2 linked regions of the Mus musculus genome follow. The protein of the gene in region 1 purifies or fractionates together with the protein of each later gene. This does not show direct contact. Links are inferred from orthologs where the notes say so. Each region holds a gene or a part of one and is shown on either strand. Other genes may lie near its edges.

Region 1 (4,240 bases):
AAGTTTGACTGTGCATTCAAGCCCCATCAATTCTCCTCCAAAAAGTACATTAGACCAAAAAAAAAGAAAAAAAAAATCTGCAGTATACGTATCATAAAAGTAACTAGAAATGTGGGGCAGCATTAGACTCAGTGGGTCACAAAAAAGAACAAGAGTTGGGAGATGGACTCACTGAGGGGAGAGCTGAGGGACAGAGGAGGGAGATAGGGTGGTCAAAATATAAAATGTTTCACATGTATGAAAATCTGAAATAAAATAATCTACAAAAATATTCCTAAGAAAACAAATCTTTTTGCAAAGATTTGTAAACTTTGTAAACTTTAGTCTTGATGGGTTTACAAGGATCACCGGAGCAGGGAATGTGTTTACTAAGCACAGGTATTGTCTCAATATGAAAACATCTTGAATTTAAATAAGAGTTTAACAGAATATAAGGCACTTTAGGGTCTTGAACAAATTGTTTAAAAACAAACTCCTTGTAAATACTCAGTTGCCAATCTCTTATGTCAAAATCAAACTAATTGTGTTTTTAATTTTTATTATTATTGTGTGCATTTATTTGTACACATACACACTGGCAAGAGTGTGAAGATCAGAAGACAGCTTTTGTTTTTGATTCTTCAAGACAGGCTGTGTAGATGAGTCTAGCCTCAAACTCAAGAGTTTGCCTCTGCCTCCCCAGGGCTGGGATTAAAGGCTAGGACCACTAAGGCCCAATGGAGAACAACTTTGGAGAGGATTCACTCCTTCCACTTTGGGTTCTGGGGGACCCAACTAAGGTAGTCAGGCCTGTTGGACAAGTGTTGTTATCCACTATACCATCTCACCAGCCCAAACTAGTTAATTAAAAAAAAAAAAATGGTGCACATATAAACCTTTTAAATATAGGCTAAAAAAAACACAATAGTAGGTAAGTATTCCAATTTTATATTCCTATATGTCACATTAAGGCTAACAAATTTTGGAAGATTTTGGAAGATTCAAGCTCCACAACTACCAACTACAGAAAGCCAATTTGAATCCACCACTCCAGTATTTTACAAACATCATTTTCTATACAAATGAGCAATAATGGGAAAAGTCTTGTTCAAACATGAGCCACCCTTACAGGGATGCACTGGATATCATTTGCTTTGCAGTGTTAATGTTCTTCAATGCTAGTGTGTACTATAATCAAAGGACACACCATTCTAGTGATCTAAAAATATTACTCAAGTTTTTAGGGTTAGAAATTAAAATCAAGGTTGGTAATTCAAGTAGCTCATTCCTGTAAGCCCAGCTCTTGAGAGGCAGAGACTAGGAGGTCCCTCTATGTTTAAGGTTAACCGGGGCTACATATGGAGACCCTGTCTCAAGATAAAAAAAAAAAAAAAATCCAAAAGCCCTTTTAATGGAAAAACTAAAGCATGCAACTTTGAAGTTGCAATCCTAACAAAGACAAATCAGGGGTATGACGAAATTCTCTTTTCACCTCATTCTTCAAACCATGCACTGAAGTTGGGTTCTTTACATCAAGTAAGTCACAATTAGTGTGGCAAAGAATTGCTCCTGCAATTCACCCGAGTATATAGCCAAGGGGTCCTTTAAAGATCATACCTACACAAGTGGCTGCAGACAGTGTATATTCCCTGACCAAAATAACTTAAACCTAAGATTTTGAACCTTCGGTATTTTAGGTGCATCTCAGGCAGCCTGAAGACAGGCAACAGGATTTCAACAACAACAAAAAAAAATTGCCACCTTACTCTGAACCAATGTGCTGGGTTGACCCACAAAGGCCGCAAGATGCTGTCTTAATTTGAATAGCCCTGACTTGTAGGAGTTAAAACTCTCACCCCTTATGCTGCGATGACGTAATCTTCCACACTGAATTTCTCCCAGAGTTAAAGGGGTGGAAAGAGGAATTTACAAAATAGTAATAATAACCGACAAAGAAAATTTCCTGCTAGGAACGAGGAACTGAGTAAGTGGCCAGGCGGGGTTTCGGGAGGTGCTTAGGCAGGTCCCGGATGGCAAAGAGGCCGGCCCCGGCAGGAGAGCCCCGGGAGCCGCGGGGCAGGAGAGGACACGGCGCGGGGCTGGAGACCGCCGAGGGGCGCAGGCGCAGAGCCGCCCGGTCCGTCACCTCGGCCCCGGCCCGGCCCGGCCCTGCGGCCGCAGTTCCGCTCCCCTCCCCCGCCAGCCGCAACGCGTCCGTGGCGGGGCCGGGGAAGCAGGAAGTCGAGGCCCACAACGGAGAGACAGCCCCCGGCCTCCGACCCCGGTCCGGACCGGGCGTCTCCCACCCCGCGCCCCGGGGCCTCGGAGCCCGCGGGCGGCCGGAGGGGGAGGGGAGCGGGTGGGATGGGTGTGCCCGGTCCTCTCGCCGCCGCCGCCGCCGCCGCCGCCGCTGACAGCTCGGCCGGGCTGTGCCCTCGGCCGCCGCCATCCCCGGCCGCGCCGCGCCGCCATTCCAGCCCTAAGCCTCGCCGCGACCCCGCCTCGCTTCCCTCAGAACCCGGGCCGGCGGGCGCACGCGACCCCGGCAAGCCCTCCCTCGCGGCCCACCGCCCGCAAGCACCGGGATGCCCCTGCCCGCGAGCATCCTCGAGAACCGAGAGAGGACGGGGGGGGGGGGGACACGCGAAGGGGACCGGGCGGCGCAGAAGACGCTCCCGCAGGGAGGCTTCTCGGGCCCCGCACTCACCTCAGCTTCTCCGCCGGGGCGTTGGCAGCACTGCGCGGGGCCTCCTCGGCTGCCGGACAGGGGCACGCGCCTGACGTCAGCACGCAGGGGACGCATGGTTGGGTGCCCGCGGAAGTGGGAGGGACAAAGAGAGAGAAGGGGCTGAGGGCGGCTCGGGCTCCGCCCCTTGGCGCGCACGCGCGCGGGCTGCGTTCCTTGCATGCTCTGGTTGGCTCTCTGCGCCTTTTAACGGTATTTTTTATCCGTAATAAAACTATGAACAATGATGTGCACGGTGTTGTAACTAAAGTTTATTTTGAGTCTTGCAACTTCGTGAAGAAAAGTGTTGTAAATATGTTTTACTTTTATATTTTTGTTTATTTTATTGAGACAGGGTGTCATTATGTAGCCCTTGCTATCCCAGAATGGCTATGTAGACCAGGCTGTCCCAGAACACAGCAATACTACTGCCTCTGCTTCCAGAGTTCTGATATTTCAAGAAATGTACTACCATGCCTGAGCTGTCTCTCTCTTTTTTGTTGTTGTTTTTTGTTTTTTGACAAGAGTTTCTTTCCATGGGTAGCCCTAGCTGTATTGAAACTTGCTGTGGAGCCCAGGCTAGCCTGGAACTCAGAGAATCCCTTGCCTCTGCTTCCTGGGTGCTGGGATTAAAGGTGTGCATCACCATACCCAGGCTACCGGGTTTGTTTTGTTTTGTTTTGTTTTTAATAACTTGAGACGTGATCTCGTTTAGCGCAGCCTGGATTTGAATGCTTAACTAGGTACCAGAGGTTGATCTTAAACTGCTAAGCCTCTACCTCCGAAGTGCTGAGCTTATAGGCGTGCCCCTCCATAGCCTGCCTCTTTGCTTCTCTGAGAGAGGAAGTGACTTGCTGTGCACAGCTTTATCTGTCTGTTTTTGGAGTGGGAGTTGAGTATCACCCTCGGTTTTGTTTAGAACTAAAGACTTTCCCCCTCAAAAAAGTCCTACATTTACTGTCCCTGAGTGCTCTCCCCTGGCCCCTTTGGTTGGATCTGACCTATCAAATCCTTCTCTTCCCTGTCATCTCGGCGCCTGTTGAATAGCTGCCTTCTCTGGCCGTGTACTAGCTGCTGGAGAATAGAGAGCCTAGCCTTCTGTCAGATGCTCCCCAACATTAGAGGAACCTTATCTCAGTAATGTTCTCTTGCGGGCTGGAGATGTAGCCCAGTCGGTAGAGAGCTTGCCAAGAATGCACGAAGCCCCACGTTAGTGCCTCTACCACATTCATAATCCAAGCTCTGAGATGGATGGCTGTAATCCCAGCACTTGGGAGGTGGAAGCAGAAAAATCTATGGTGACCCTTGGTTGCATAGAAGATTCAGAGTGTCCTAGGATACAAAACATCCATTCTCAAAAAACAGGAGGGTGTGTCTTAAGGAGGCAGAACTCTGAGACCTCAGATGTGTGCTCCTGCATCCAGCTTTATGTGGGCCCTAGGGATTCGAACTCAAGTCCTCACACCTGCGCAGCAATCACTTTGCCCTCTAAGCCACCTCCCAGCCTGCAATCTACTTCTTTCAAAGCTGTACTGT
Region 2 (3,500 bases), on another chromosome or scaffold:
CAAAGGGCTCAGGGCAGGTAGATGGGATGGGTAACGTTAACTTGTTTACAGCCACACCATAGGCTACGGCAAGACAGTCGATGCCACGGTAGGGCACCTCCCCAGTCAGCAGTTCCCACAGCAGCACTCCAAAGCTGTAGGGAGACAGAGATTCGGATGTTCACCTCAAAGCAAGGAGGAACTAAATGGTTTTGGGTCCTGGATTCTGCCTGCCTGACCACCCCTGGGCTTAAGCAGCCCTTCTCACCCTCTGTAGCCCCACACTCTCCGGTCCCAACACTGGCTGTACCTCCAGACGTCGCTGCCCTTGGAGAAGGTGGAGGCCTTGATAACCTCGGGAGCCATCCAAGCGTAGGTGCCCGCAGCACTCATCTGGGTGGTTTTGTGCCACTCTCGGGCGAGGCCGAAGTCAGTAATCTTTAGGGTCTTGTGTTCCATGTCGTCACCCTCGATGGGCTGCAGCAACAGAACTGGGGAGCAAATGGAGGAGGATTGTGGGGGTGCAAAGGAGAAGCGTGCAGAGCAGGCGCATCTCACAGTCATCCTGGCCAGGTACTGACACACAGGTGGCTGGTGAGACGCTGCCCTGAGAAGTTCACAGCCGGGGTGGGGGGAGACTTGACTACTCAGGTGACAAGCAGCACCCATTTACTGGCAAGACATTACTAAGTTGCTGCCTCTGAGTACTAGAGGCCAACATTTTAGTTAGTTCTACTAAAAGAGATAAACTAAACTAAACCAAATTAAACAAACAAAACCATGAATTATCATCATTTTACAGGTGAGGAAATAGCAGGGACCTGCCCAAGTCACAGCAAACAGATTCTAGTCAGCCTAGGGCTCCAGAGCTAATGCTCTAGCCTTTTCATAGCACGGAATGGATTAAAAACTGTAATGTGGCCGTTTTCAGTGTTGGTGGCTCTGCTTTCAAGAGAAACCTGAGGTAGGCATGGTGGCATATTCCTTTAATCCCAGCACTCAGGAGGCAGAGGCAGGTGGATCTTGGAGTTCAAGGCTCAAGGCCAGCCTGATCTACAAATGGAGTTTCAGGAGAGCCAGGGCTACGCAGAGAATCCCTGTCTTGAAACACACACACACACACACACACACACACACACACACACACACACAGAGTGAGCGAGCAAGCAAGAGAATCCATTGAGTGTCTTGTCACTCTGCTGAGGCAGGAGTATGAATCGGAACTTAGGCCAGGGAACGGGGAGGGAAGCCCTTAAAGAGCAAAGATCTCCTCCAGGAGGTCACAGCACTGTGACCATCACAACCTCTCACAGCAGAAGACTTCAGAAGACGTCTACAGCAGGAGTTGGGTGTAAAGAGAGAGGGAGGTGAAGGTTCTGGTCACACTTGGCAGGGGTCACACTTAGCTTTGGTCCAAGTGTGGCTACCAATCTCAGAAAAAGAGAGGCAACATCTTAGCAAAATCTTGCCAGGATAAAAACAGTTCAAGTGAGCAGCAGAGTAGCAGGGGACCACGTCTGAATCCTCAAGGGCCCATCAGTGGTGAGCAGTGCCTTCTGTTTTGAGCATGTGGCAGGCACACCCCCAGCTCTCTTACAGGCTATCAGTCAGGGCTGCAATGGGACAGGATAGGTACTGAGCGTGAGGAAGGGGGGAGGGCATCTATGTGGCCAGGTGAGCCAGGAAGGGCTTCTTGGAGGAGGAATCACACCAGGTTTTATCTTCAAAGGCCTGAAGCCAGAACCCGTTTCCCGGGTGATTTGGCATTAAGGCCTGACCCCTACCCACACCATCCGTTCCCAGGTCCTCTTGTTCGTGACTCTGTTTCCCTCTGAATGCTTCAGTTCTGGTGCTCTTCGAGCGCAGACACAGACGCTGCCACCTCTGGGCTGCCTCCATCCACTCCAGACTCCTGCCCCCTCTTACATGGCAAGACAGCAATGATGCGCTCTACCCACTGTCAACATGCCCTGCGTGGCTCTTCTCTGCCCCCACTCCTGGCAGACTTCCTTCCAGTTTCTCCTAGTTCAGGGAATGGTGTTGACTCCTCCTACTCCTCTTTTGCACTGGGAGTGAGTCTGGCTCCGATAAGGCAAATGTACCTCACAGGTTGTCCAGGAGTCTTAGACCAGTTCAGACATTGAAAAGCCTTTAGCCTGGGCCTGACGTGTGGCAGAACTCTTCTCAATGTCTTTCGGCATAGAGATCCTGTGCTCACGTCTGTCAGAGCCCACTCTTGCTCTCCACCCTTAATCCTAACTTCCGCCCTCCAGCCCCAGGTCAGCCTGCCAAAGGCAGCAGGGACCCGTTGTTAGGCCTGTGCAAGCTCATCTCAGGAGGAACCACAACAGGCTGGGGCAGGATGGGAGAGAGCACAGGTTCTTTCCGGAGCCAGGACCCACCCTCCACTGAGGACTTGCTCCTGCCTCCAGCCTGGTCTCTAGCACACATGGTTGCCCACAGACGGGCAGAGCACATTCTGCATCGTGTTCTTAGGCAGGGAGCCAACCTGCCTCTTTTCTCGTTGTGGAATCTGAATTCTGGTAAGAGGCAGCACTTGGTGTCTCAGGCCTCTATCTGCAGCCATTCTGCTACCTCCGTCTCCGCTCTGGGTTTTGTAGGCACCTCACCTCTGCGTCCTCAGCTTCTCCTCCAGCTTGTTTTGCATCCTGCCTGGGTCCTAAGTTATTGTTGTGATGCTCGATGGAGACCTTGGGCCTGGGAGGTCAGGGGCCACTCAGAAAAGCTGCAGAGCTCAAAGCTTGGGGCAGCTTCCCAGCCGTCTCCTTACTGTCCCCCCACCCCCTCCTGGCCTTTGTCAGGCTAGGGAGTAGCCTGGCCAGCTCACACCTCTTCCGCTTTCCTCTCATGGTCCCTACTTCTCCTTTCTAGGAGGCCTGGGCCAACTTGGGGGGGGTATTCTTTGGGGGCAAATTGGGGGAGGTCAGGTCCAGGCCGGCTGGCTGGTCAGTCCTGTGACTCGTGGGCCTGGAGAATTCCCCCTTCTCTCGAGGCCAGGCCTCCTCACAAGGCCCCCATTGTCCAGGAAAATCATGCCATTGTTTCCTGCCTGATTCCCCCCCACCCCAGCCCAGGGACTCCCCCCACCCCAATCCCACAGACAGCAACTCGGGCCTAGGACTGGGTCTGCAAGGTTGGATGCCAGGCTCAGAGGCTGAGGGCACCTTGCCTGCCCTTCACCAACACCCAGACTCTGAGAGGGAAACAGGGGAACTAGGGCCTGGAGGGGGGCAATCCCTGGCTCCTTCCTCTCCCGAAACCCCTCCACCCCCAGCTCTTTCCTCCCTTGCAGGCAGCTGGGCCAGGGAGGGAACAGAGCTGGAGCTGGGGCAGGAAGCCAGCCCAGGGGCAGCAGGAAACACAGGAAGCGGTGTGGAGGGTGGGGAGCAGGGGCCTGGACTATTGTTCCATTTTTTTCTGGAAGGAGAACGGAGGAAAAACAGAAGACAGGAGCCCCCACCCCCTGGGCCTTCGGGGAATCCCCCTCAGGCTAGTGGAGG

The links. The genes of interacting proteins can lie anywhere in the genome.
Region 2: the proteins of Cdc42 (region 1) and Map3k11 purify together in Homo sapiens (affinity purification with western blotting; 3 studies listed by BioGRID and IntAct, with this or other methods). This does not show direct contact. The link is inferred for Mus musculus from reciprocal best matches to the Homo sapiens genes CDC42 and MAP3K11.

The regions. Positions count from the first base shown.
Region 1 is NC_000070.6:137,354,960-137,359,199, forward strand, and holds the start of Cdc42 (cell division control protein 42 homolog), read right to left. Parts: upstream 2,801-4,240; 5' UTR 2,687-2,800; intron 2,680-2,686; exon of another isoform or gene 1,836-2,679; intron 1-1,835. UniProt on the Homo sapiens protein: Plasma membrane-associated small GTPase which cycles between an active GTP-bound and an inactive GDP-bound state. In active state binds to a variety of effector proteins to regulate cellular responses. Involved in epithelial cell polarization processes.
Region 2 is NC_000085.6:5,692,131-5,695,630, reverse strand, and holds part of Map3k11 (mitogen-activated protein kinase kinase kinase 11), read right to left. Parts: intron 2,698-3,500; exon of another isoform or gene 2,610-2,697; intron 471-2,609; coding exon 290-470; intron 135-289; coding exon 1-134. UniProt on the Homo sapiens protein: Activates the JUN N-terminal pathway. Required for serum-stimulated cell proliferation and for mitogen and cytokine activation of MAPK14 (p38), MAPK3 (ERK) and MAPK8 (JNK1) through phosphorylation and activation of MAP2K4/MKK4 and MAP2K7/MKK7.